3 linked regions of the Coturnix japonica genome follow. The protein of the gene in region 3 interacts with the protein of the main gene of each other region in a pairwise test. Links are inferred from orthologs where the notes say so. Each region holds a gene or a part of one and is shown on either strand. Other genes may lie near its edges. The genes, in order: AGR3, FA2H and ERLIN1.

What was found.
Region 1: the proteins of ERLIN1 (region 3) and AGR3 interact in binary tests that used the Homo sapiens proteins (3 or more experiments, as listed by UniProt). The two-hybrid records come from large-scale screens. The link is inferred for Coturnix japonica from reciprocal best matches to the Homo sapiens genes ERLIN1 and AGR3.
Region 2: the proteins of ERLIN1 (region 3) and FA2H interact in binary tests that used the Homo sapiens proteins (3 or more experiments, as listed by UniProt). The two-hybrid records come from large-scale screens. The link is inferred for Coturnix japonica from reciprocal best matches to the Homo sapiens genes ERLIN1 and FA2H.

What each region holds. Positions count from the first base shown.
Region 1 is NC_029517.1:26,241,217-26,244,800, forward strand, and holds the end of AGR3 (anterior gradient protein 3), read right to left. Parts: intron 3,262-3,584; coding exon 3,198-3,261; intron 2,159-3,197; coding exon 2,075-2,158; intron 1,377-2,074; coding exon 1,327-1,376; 3' UTR 615-1,326; downstream 1-614. UniProt on the Homo sapiens protein: Required for calcium-mediated regulation of ciliary beat frequency and mucociliary clearance in the airway. Might be involved in the regulation of intracellular calcium in tracheal epithelial cells.
Region 2 is NC_029526.1:762,490-765,159, reverse strand, and holds part of FA2H (fatty acid 2-hydroxylase), read right to left. Parts: intron 2,552-2,670; coding exon 2,471-2,551; intron 1,682-2,470; coding exon 1,539-1,681; intron 1,461-1,538; coding exon 1,354-1,460; intron 272-1,353; coding exon 99-271; intron 1-98. UniProt on the Homo sapiens protein: Catalyzes the hydroxylation of free fatty acids at the C-2 position to produce 2-hydroxy fatty acids, which are building blocks of sphingolipids and glycosphingolipids common in neural tissue and epidermis.
Region 3 is NC_029521.1:5,997,798-6,001,550, forward strand, and holds the start of ERLIN1 (erlin-1), read right to left. Parts: upstream 2,520-3,753; 5' UTR 2,391-2,519; intron 2,227-2,390; 5' UTR 2,216-2,226; coding exon 2,103-2,215; intron 1,066-2,102; coding exon 984-1,065; intron 619-983; coding exon 572-618; intron 1-571. Other genes in the region: CHUK (inhibitor of nuclear factor kappa-B kinase subunit alpha), read right to left, coding at 2,942-2,968. UniProt on the Homo sapiens protein: Component of the ERLIN1/ERLIN2 complex which mediates the endoplasmic reticulum-associated degradation (ERAD) of inositol 1,4,5-trisphosphate receptors (IP3Rs).

The sequences.
Region 1 (3,584 bases), on a different chromosome or scaffold from region 3:
TAGGCAACATCAGAGGAAATGGCAGGTAATGGAGATAAATGTTTGTGCCTTGCACAGAACATCATGTTGTTGCTCTTCCTCCAGATGAATGACTTACTACTTTGCTATAGTGAAGAAGCATGTCATTGGTATAGGCAACTATTTCAACTGACTCAGACTTTTTACTTAAAATAGCTGTTTACCCTTCCATATGGTGATCTTGAGAGACTTTGAGAAAAAGAGTTTGTATATGCAGATTCCTTCAGTATGCTTCTACTATGATGTTTGTATTGGGAACTACAGAAGGAATAACCATTTGAAAGTGCCACTTAAAAGTAAAGAGCTAGGAAAAACCTATTGGTTTTTCCCACACTGGTCTTTACAAGCATGACTAGCCTCAGGTGTGGAGTTCTGGAATTATCTCCTTCCATCTCTTTTGCGTCACTGCATTTTTATCATGGCAAAACCTGTAGTTGCTATTTGATGACTATCACCTCACAGAAACCCCATGTTCAGCATGAAATATGTTCTGTTTTCAGCTCTCAGAATCATAGAATTACTCAGGTTGGAAGAGACATCAAAGGTCATTAAGTCCAACTGCAGCCTAACCATAATACCCTAACAACCCTCTGCTAAATCATATCTCTGAGCACCGCATCCAAACAGCTCTTAAACACATCCAGGGATGGTGACTCAACCACCTCCCTGGGGAGCCTATTCCAGTGTTTAACTACCCTTCCTGTAAAGAAGAATGATAAAGAAGAATAATATCTAAAGAATGATACAGAAGAAAGCAAACCCTAGATCTGAGGGTTTTTTTCTCTATTAGCTATTCTAAAATCTACAGCAAGAGCCTTCCTGTCTGATTTGCCAGCAATATTCCTTTAATGAGAAATAAATGCATAAAACTGAGTCATGCTAGAGATTTACAAGCTACATGAAATAAAATATAGGAGGTAAGAAGTAGCTAATAACTTAGATCATGCATTGTTAATAGACATCAAGTACTGTCTATAGCTCTTGATTGGAAGTTGTAGCTGACAATAAAGCCACAGTTCAATTGATAATATACAGCTCAAGGTTGCTTGCATCTTAGACCATCACTTCTAATTATTCAGGTTGCTAATTCCACCTCACAGTGTTTGGTGGATTTCTTCTCTGTTTCCCAAATGGTAATGGTAGCCTCCTATATTTCATCTTCAAATCATACATCTCATGTAATCTGGTTTACCTGGTTGGTAAGGATTCAAAGAGATAGCAGAGAAAGAGGCTAAATAAAATATTTAAAAGTGTTGGAATTCTTGGTGCAGCTTCACCTTCTAGAGGTTATGATCATTTCACTGTTGATTACAGTTCTGTCTGAATGAGGCGTAGTGCTTTCTTCATGTTCTCTATTACTGAAACAAAAATGAGTAACAACCGTAAAATATTCTTACAGTACATTTTGATTAGTACATTCTTCACACTGGAATTCACGCAGGATTATATATTTTAGTGCTTCCTATTGTGAATATTCTGGCATTGATACTAAAGCTGAAGGCAAAGAGAGTTGTAAATCAAAACATTTAACTTGAGGAGTTGAATATTCTTAAATCCCTTTTGCTTCAGCAAAATAGTCAGATGTGACATGCATATTTGTTGTGAGATACTGCATGGGTCTCAGATGGATGGTACAGAGTACTAGTTCAACCTGAAAAATCACATTCCTTTTTGGAATATGGGTTAACAAGCATTTCTTTTTCCCGGTCCCCTCCCGTCACTGCTTATTAACATTGCGCAGTTGGATTCCTTTGTGCATAGTGACTTTCACCATTCACCAGCAAACAGCTCAGATCTTGGTCCTGAAATTTCTCACCTGTGATCTTTCAACTCACCTCACCTAAGCAGACCCAATAAATTCAGCGGAGCAATAGATGTGCCTAAGTGTTTGCTAGAACAGGTTAGACAACTATAAATTATTGTTAAGTGCTGGCAAACATTCTTTACTCATTACTTAGAGATCTTAACTGATTCTCAAACACAGACGATTGGGATGGTGTGTATCTGGCTGATTACAGTGTAAAATGCAGAGCAACAGCACAAAATAGGCACTTACAGAATGGTATGTCTTGTGGTTCATAAGTGTACAGTCGATTAGAGTATCTTCCTGTGATATCAGCTCTCACTGTGAGAGATGGGTCTGAAAAAGAAACTGTGTTAATCGCTGCTTCCCACAGCAGCCGAGGGTGATGCCCATAGTACCGCCCTGTTCCTGAGGTGTTCTGATTTTGCCAACCACAAACTACAAGGCTGTTACGCTCTGTTCCAACCAACTGCTTTTTATGTGGAGAAATCTTAAACAAAAACTAATGTTCAGTTTTATATTACACAGCTTTTTTTAAGAGATTGATTGCACATACCTTTTTTTCCATACTTGAAGAAAACCATCCTGTTTTACAAGTTCTGGGGTTACTCTGGGAGAGCTAATTTTGACTGAATGCACAAATAATGAGGGTCATGCATAATTAATACAAAGTTATCGTGGCTTACCTGGTGACTAGAACTAAGGTCTTGTGATTCTTATTGTTTCTATTAGTGTAGAAAATGGTTGTAAATATCTTACTGAACTGGTTCCCCTTCTAAGCTATCTGTTAATTAATCACCTGACTCCTTTTACTACTTTGCTCTAAGCAGGGACTTCACCTCACCTACCTTTGATGCCTGTGTAATTGGTGAAAAGGAACAGGGACTGTGGGACATGATTTACTTAATATATTTCAGAAGTCAACTCTGCAGTGTAGTAGATAATTTCTTAGACTCTGTTGACTGTTGACTTGCTCTGTGGTAATGTCTGCACTGTAGACACTGTAGACATTCATTCACATATTTGACAGCTCTCTCTACACTTCATTTCCTAACTGTGCTTGCAAAAGCACAGGGAGCTAACAGGGGCTGACAGATGCCCAGATGCTAACAGATATTTAAGCACCTTGCTCCCAAGTGCAAATGAGGTACCCTCCAGAACATATTTATAATCTGAGGAAGTTTACAGGAGCTGAAGCCCGTGATAGAATGAGAACTAAACTCAGGTATGCCAAATTCCATACTTTTGCCATGGTAAAGATAAATTCTGGGCTATTTTCTTTTTGCAAAATGATTTGTCTTGATGTTTCTGGAGAACAACACTGGCACAGATTCAGAGATCACATCTTCAGAAGATTCATAAGTACTGTACATACCTATGAACATGATTCGAGGCACGTATTGTCCATCAGGTGACAGGTTTTTATCTGTGGTTTCATGCTGGCAGGGAAATTAAAGCTAATTATTAAAATATTCATATAAATTTAGCTGAAATAGCATCACTTGTGAACAGTATTGTACCAGAGGAAAAAAAAAATACAGAAGGTATATATGCACACACATAAACACATATATGAAGGCTGCTCTGAAAGTAATGCTTCCTATTTTATTGTGTTGGTCCATGACATCAAAGACCTCAGATGCTGGTGGTGTGGCAGTAGAAGCTAAACCTTTCTGGCAGTGTTCTATTACATTTTGTTGCCATGCAACGGATGGCAGCAGAGAGGCAGTCTGACAGAATGGCATCTGTTGTGGAAGTGCAT
Region 2 (2,670 bases), on a different chromosome or scaffold from region 3:
CTCAGGGCTCATGGTTTAACTCCAGCTGCTCCAAGCTCATCCTCCAGCATTAGCAAAGGGCAAGGATACCCGAATGGAGCAGAAGCATTGCAGCTCACCTTGTGGTGCTGCCCGTGCAGCAAGAAATGCAGGGTGATGAGATAGTAGTTACTAGCGGGTGGCTTCATGTGGAAGACAAAGCGATGGATGAGGTACTCTAGCAGGGACCACAGGAACATCCCCAGGAGGAAGATGAAGGGGAAGTAGTATTTGTGCACGGGGATGGAGTACTCTACACAATGAGACATGCAGCAGTCAGCGAGGCTGGTGGGATGCACGTGCTTCTATCCATCGCCATCCTGATGTCAGCCACTGGGTGAAGCTCACCTCTCCCCACACTTCTGTTTGGTTCCCCTTAATTTGTGCTATTTGGTGGAGTAGCTGATGCCAGCTGGGGCTGTAACTATGTCCCTACAGAGCAGCTTTTCCCACCCAAACACGCAGTGCGACCCAACAGACACAGGCAGCGCTTGTGGCAGCAGAACAGAGTCGCTGCTGTGTTGTTGTTTGGCAGAGCACGCAGCTGTCGGGTGCTTTCCCCCCCGCAGCGCATTTTTCCACCACCTCCTCCTTTTGGTGCCAGCAAACCCTGCATCCTCCCGCACAAAATTCCCCCAAACCAAAGCACTGAGACAATGGGGAGGAAAACACCCTCAGGGCAGTGAGGTGCCCAGTGTGCCACACATCACTCTGCATGGGGAGCCAGGAAGCATGTTTGGGAATGCCAAAGAGATGGAAAAAGAATGCGGAGGAACAAAAGGATGGATTTATTCTAGCTGGACGGGAGGCAGGGAACCCAGAACATCAAAACCTGCTCTGATTTTGGGCCGAGCAGCGCAGCTGGCACAGGGTGGCACCCGCAGCAGGGCCAACAACAAAGCTGTCACCCGGCCGCCCGCTGCCCGCTGTGGGGCTGCACACAGTGGTGGATTCAGGGGGGGGGTTCTGGGTGAACAAGCCGTGCTCTGTGCGAGGCCGGTGGTGTGAGAGCCGTGTTTGTTCAGCCATCCCCAGTGTCAGGGCAGTGGGTGGCAGCGTGGAGGGACGCAGCCATTGGTGAGCAGCAGGGCTTCGTTTTGGGTATGGAGGAAGGGAGGCAGCTCGGGGCTGTGTCCTGTTCTGTGCCCTCCACCCTCTGGGGCAGCAGCTCTCCCTATGAACAAACCCACCATCCTTCCCTATGGACAGGCAGGGGAGCAAGGCAAGCTCAGCCAGCACGGGTGGCTTCGTGCAGGGGACATGCTGGGGGCTGCAAGGGTTGGGGGCTGCCCATGCTCATGCAGGTGTGCGCTGAGGGCTGGGGATGGGTGGTACCTGTGGTGAAGGAGGAGAAGAGCCTGGTGTTGCCCTGCGCCAGGGCTGTGTAGCTGACCCAGCTGAGGTAGAGCACCACGGGGGTCCACACCAGGAACACCACGTACCTACAGAGAGAGGGGATCCGTCAGGGGGGCAGACCCACACATCTACAAGTCCACCCCCCCACACCCCAGGATGCTCACCACGCCGTCTTGGAGAGAGCCTCAACAAAATCCGAGTGGAAGAGGCGGATGGGCCGATCCACAGGCTGGTGCACCCACTCGTCGTACTTCTCCCCCAGGTAGCCCACCTGCCACAGCAAGGGCTTCCGCCAGTCCACCAGGTCCTGGGGGCACAGGGCTGTTCGTTAGGTCCCTCAGGGTTCCCATCCCACAGTACCCACAATCTGGGGGGATGCATGGGATCATTAAGGCTGGGAAAGGCCTCAGGTCCCCAAGTCCAACCCACCCCACTATGCCCACTGCCTGCATCCCTCAGTGCCGCATCCCCACGGCTCTGGGACGCCTCCAGGGACGGAGACTTCCCCCCCTTTCTGTGCCACTGCTTGTGGGGTCTGGGTAGGGATGGATGTGGTTACCCAGCGGGGTAACAACCCCAGCATGCATGGGAATGAATACAGATGCCCCACACCAACAGGATGTGAGAGCAAAACGCCATTTTGGGATGCACCCAAAGGAAAGATCCTTTCTTAAAGGCAATCGGTGGCAAAACATTCATAGGGAATGAAGGGTTTCCTGCTGGTCAAATAAAGTCCCTTGGCAAGACAAAGGCTGGTGCTCCCCAAAGAGCACTTGGCACAGCAGCCATGTGGTTCAGTGAGAGGCACCCAAAGGCACCGTGGGACAGGGAGAAACTGTGGGACATGGAGCTCAGCCTGCCCGGCAGGACATCCCTTACAGCTCAGCCAAAAGGGAAAAACAAATCATAAACGAATAGAAATAAAGAAATCAAGGGTGTGAGGTGCAGCTCAGCAGCATGTCCTGCTTTAAGGGCAAAGCTGCTGTCAAAGGAAGGCATCAGCGCCCACATAGGAGCCGCCCAGAGCAGCCGCGCCTGGGCCATAAAGGCACTGCTGCGCCATCTGCGTGGGGCGAAGGGCAGAGCGCGGCCTCACCGTGCCCACGTCCACTGGCTTGCAGCGCGGATCCAGCCGTGGGGCTGCAGCGTCCAAAGGCTTCTCCACCTTGGGGCAGCTCTGCAACAAGAAGGAAGGAAGGTTTGGGGCTGCTGAGGAACCACAAGGTGATCACAGTTTGATAAAGACCGTCAAGATGGTCTTGTCCAGCTGCTCAACTACCACCAACAGCGCCTGCT
Region 3 (3,753 bases):
GCTTGCTCTCCTTCTTGCTTTGCTTGCTTCAACAGTATAAGAATCAACTATTAAGCAGGCAAGTGCCACCCCTGGTAGGCTGCTGCTTTATTCTGACATACTCTCTCTAAGTCAGGTGAAATGCTGATTCCAGAAAATGCCTCAGGAATTGCGGGAAACTTATTTCTTGAGCTGTTGTTGTCATCTCCCACCAGGAGGAAGGGCTTCTGTTTGCCATTTACTTTTGCCCACTGCTGGAATCAGCACTTGTATTCACCACAAGCTTCTGTGTAGAAATATGTAAAGCAAAAGGCAGACAAAAGCAGACCAGTGGGTGAGCAGAGAAATGCAAGGAAGAAAACAAGGTAAATTGGGAGGTCATCAGTGTAAATGAAAACATGAATTCCAGCAAGTGCACTCAATCCCACACCTCCTGCTTGATTTCCAAGTGGAATGAATGCATTTATGCTTGGAACTAATTTTACGCTTTTACTTTTCAGCCTCTTCATCACAGCACTATAAACAATTAATGTAAACTATGCAAGAGAATACATCTACTCGTCACCAAAAGAAATACAATGAGAAAACATACCTCGTCCCACAAGGCACATTTTTTACTTCATCAGTCTGCAAAGTGGTCTGAAATAAAGATAACCAATGCTCAGAAACACACACCATTCTTCAGGCAGACTGTGTTCAACCCCTCAAAACCATAACAGAGGCACAGAGAAACAAACTGCATCCTCTGCCTCCCTCCCTACAGTTGTAGGTGCAAGCAGGAAATGGTCTTCATCCTAACTGCAGTCTAGGAGAGACAATGGCAGCCGTGCTCATTTCCCTGCTCTTACTTCCTGAAGCTTTCCTAGGAATCTAGACAGATCGTACCCTTGAGTGAGGCATCCTCCTGCTCCAAATGAAACTGTGCAAGTTCTCATGCAGCAAAGCACCCAACGGCCCAACAAACACTGACGTTTTGCACGGGGCAGCAGTTAAGAGACACTGACCTGCACAGATCTGAATGTGGTGATGAAGGGCAACATGATGTGGTAGCCTGGTCCACTTGGACTAGTTAACAATGCACCACCCCTAAAGAGTAGAGATAAAAACATTGAAGCAAATGGAAAATACTACATGCAGGCTTTGAGAGAAAACAATCAAAATGCCAGGAGTCATGTTTGTGTTAGTGTGAATTGCACAATACACCTGCTCCATATTTGCTGCATCAAAGAGTCACTTCAGGCCTGTAACCTCCTTCACTACAGTGCCAGAGAGAAGTCTATCTTGAGCATTCAGCACAGCCCCTTAACTTGAAGAGCAATGATCTGCAGTCCCTTGTGTGGTCAGACAACTCATTCTAAGTTGGAAACAGAGGAGAACTCCAAGCAAGCAGTGCTCAACATCCTGCAAAGGCCCATATTGTTCAACACACTCATAATTACAGGGAAAAAAACAGCACAAGGGGATTCCCATTCACAGAATCACAGAATCACCCAGGTTGGAAGGGACCTCAAGGATCATGTAGTTCCAAGCCCCCTGCCTAGCAGGGCCACCAAACATACACATTCACTAGATCAGGTTGCCCAGGGCCCCAAAATGGGGAATGTGAAGTGTAGAAAAGAAATTAAATGGCATAAGTGACCCAAAGATTCAGAAAAGCTGGCAGAAAAAAAGCTTGTAGAGGCTGAATTTCTCGTTCCTTTATTAAAATTTGAAGAGGAAGCATCCAGCAACTGCCCTCTCTCTTTCTATAGAGTTTGTTCAGGGCAGCTGCAAGCTCCCAGAGCCACTGGGCCAGGCTGGTGTCCAGCTGTCCTGGGACAGGGCAACAGCACTGCGGTGAGAGCAACGAAGCTGCAGGCAGGACCAGGGTACGGGCTTCACGCTTTTAGATCCCAGTCACGAGCAGGAAATTACTTTGTACAGAGGTAGGAAAATCAGCAGGGAGCTCAGAAGGACTGAGGGCTACAATGGCTCAGTACCGTGGCTTATAGGTGCGGGAAAGCAGCAATAACTCACCCTGCCCACCTGAGGGCAGGGAACAATCCCCTCCCAGGGCTCTCAGAGGGCTGCGAGCCTCATCAGTCACAAAGAGCTGCGGATGCCCTTCCAGTAAGGAACGCTACCTGTAGTACACGGCCAGGTGCCCCTCCTCAACCCTGTGGATGGAGGCGTACAGGAAGAAGACGAGGACTCCCGTAGCGGCCGCCACCAGCGCTCCGGCCTGGGCCATGGTCATTCTCTCAGCACCTGTGAGACAAAGTCCTGAGGGCGGCCGGGAGGCGGCTCCCTTCCTTCCCCTTCCTAAAGGGGGACGGGAACTCTCGGCCTTCACACCGCAGCCCCGGCGCCGCACAGGCCTGACCCGTGCCCACCTCACCAACCCCTCCTTCAGACACAGAGCCCGCACTCACCTGGCGGGCCGGCCCCGGGAGGCCCTCGGCTGCCTTACGCCCGCCCCGCCGGGCTCCGAGCGGCCGGAACAGCCCGGAACGAACAACACCGCGCCCTACCGACACAGCAGGCCCCACGGCCGGCCCGCCCCTCCCACGTGCGGCACAGGCCCAGAGCCGAGCGGCGCCCTGTGATGACATCACACGACTCCCACCACAGCCTACGAACCGCGTTTATTAACGATAAAAATCTGCTTAGAATTAAAATACACACGTCTGTACATTACAACGACCCGCCGCACCCCCAGCCTCCTCTCGGCCTCTGCTACAGGGCCCGATAGGGCGGCACAGGGCCCATGTCCCCAGCACAGCAGTAGGCGCAGCCCCGGGCCATGCAGGCCCTGCCACACAGAGCGCTCGCTATGAAGGCACAAGGAGGCCGCAGTCTGTAACACAGTTAGTGCTGGTTGCATGTATCCACTGCTGGGCACAGCCTGGGTACCCGCATGTCCAAACCAAGAGGCAATGGGGCTGCAGCCAGCTGTCTGCACACAGCAGCACAGCTCCCGGGCCTACTTCAGCCAGCTCCAGTCCAGGTTCTGAAAGAGCAAGGAAAAAAAGCAACTTAGAGGTGGAGACCATGGGATGAGATGCGGGAGGTGACAGAGAGGTAAGAATAATGAGTAGAAAGCCAGTCAGAGCTTCCTCCTCCTCTCAGCAATAGCAACTTCTGCTAATGAGTTTTATTCACTGTTTTCACTGAATTCATCCTGAGTAACTTAGCAACTCCAACCTAAATCCTCCCTCTTTCAACTTAAAACCATTTCCCCCTTGTCCTGCTATTATCGGCCCTTTCAAAGAGTTTACTCCCCTCCTGATTATAAGGTACCCTTCAGGTATTGAAAGGCTGCAATGAGGTCACCCCACAGCCTTCTTTGCTCCAGGCTGAACAAGCCCAGCTCCCTCAACCTGTCTTCACATGAGAGTTGCTCCAGCCCCCTGATCATCTTCCTGTCCCTCCTCTGGACCCTTTCCAACAGCTCCATGCCTTCCTTGTACTGAGGGCTTCATACCTGGACACAATACTCCAGATGGTGCCTCACAAGAGCAGATCAACAGTTGTAACTTTTTTATCCCATAAGAATGGATGCTAACCCTCGAAAGACACTGTAAGTAGCTTCTGAAAATAAAAGTTAGAGCATATCGGTGGATCTCACTTCCTCAGAGATCCTTGATTTCCCTACAGGACTGCACTAATTTACAAAATAAACTGAGGCAATCTCAAGCTGGCAGAAGCTGTATTGACTCTTCCCTTTATAAAAAGGTCAGTCTGATTGCCTAACTATTATCTACATTGGTGTTTCTACGAAACAGACCTAAAATC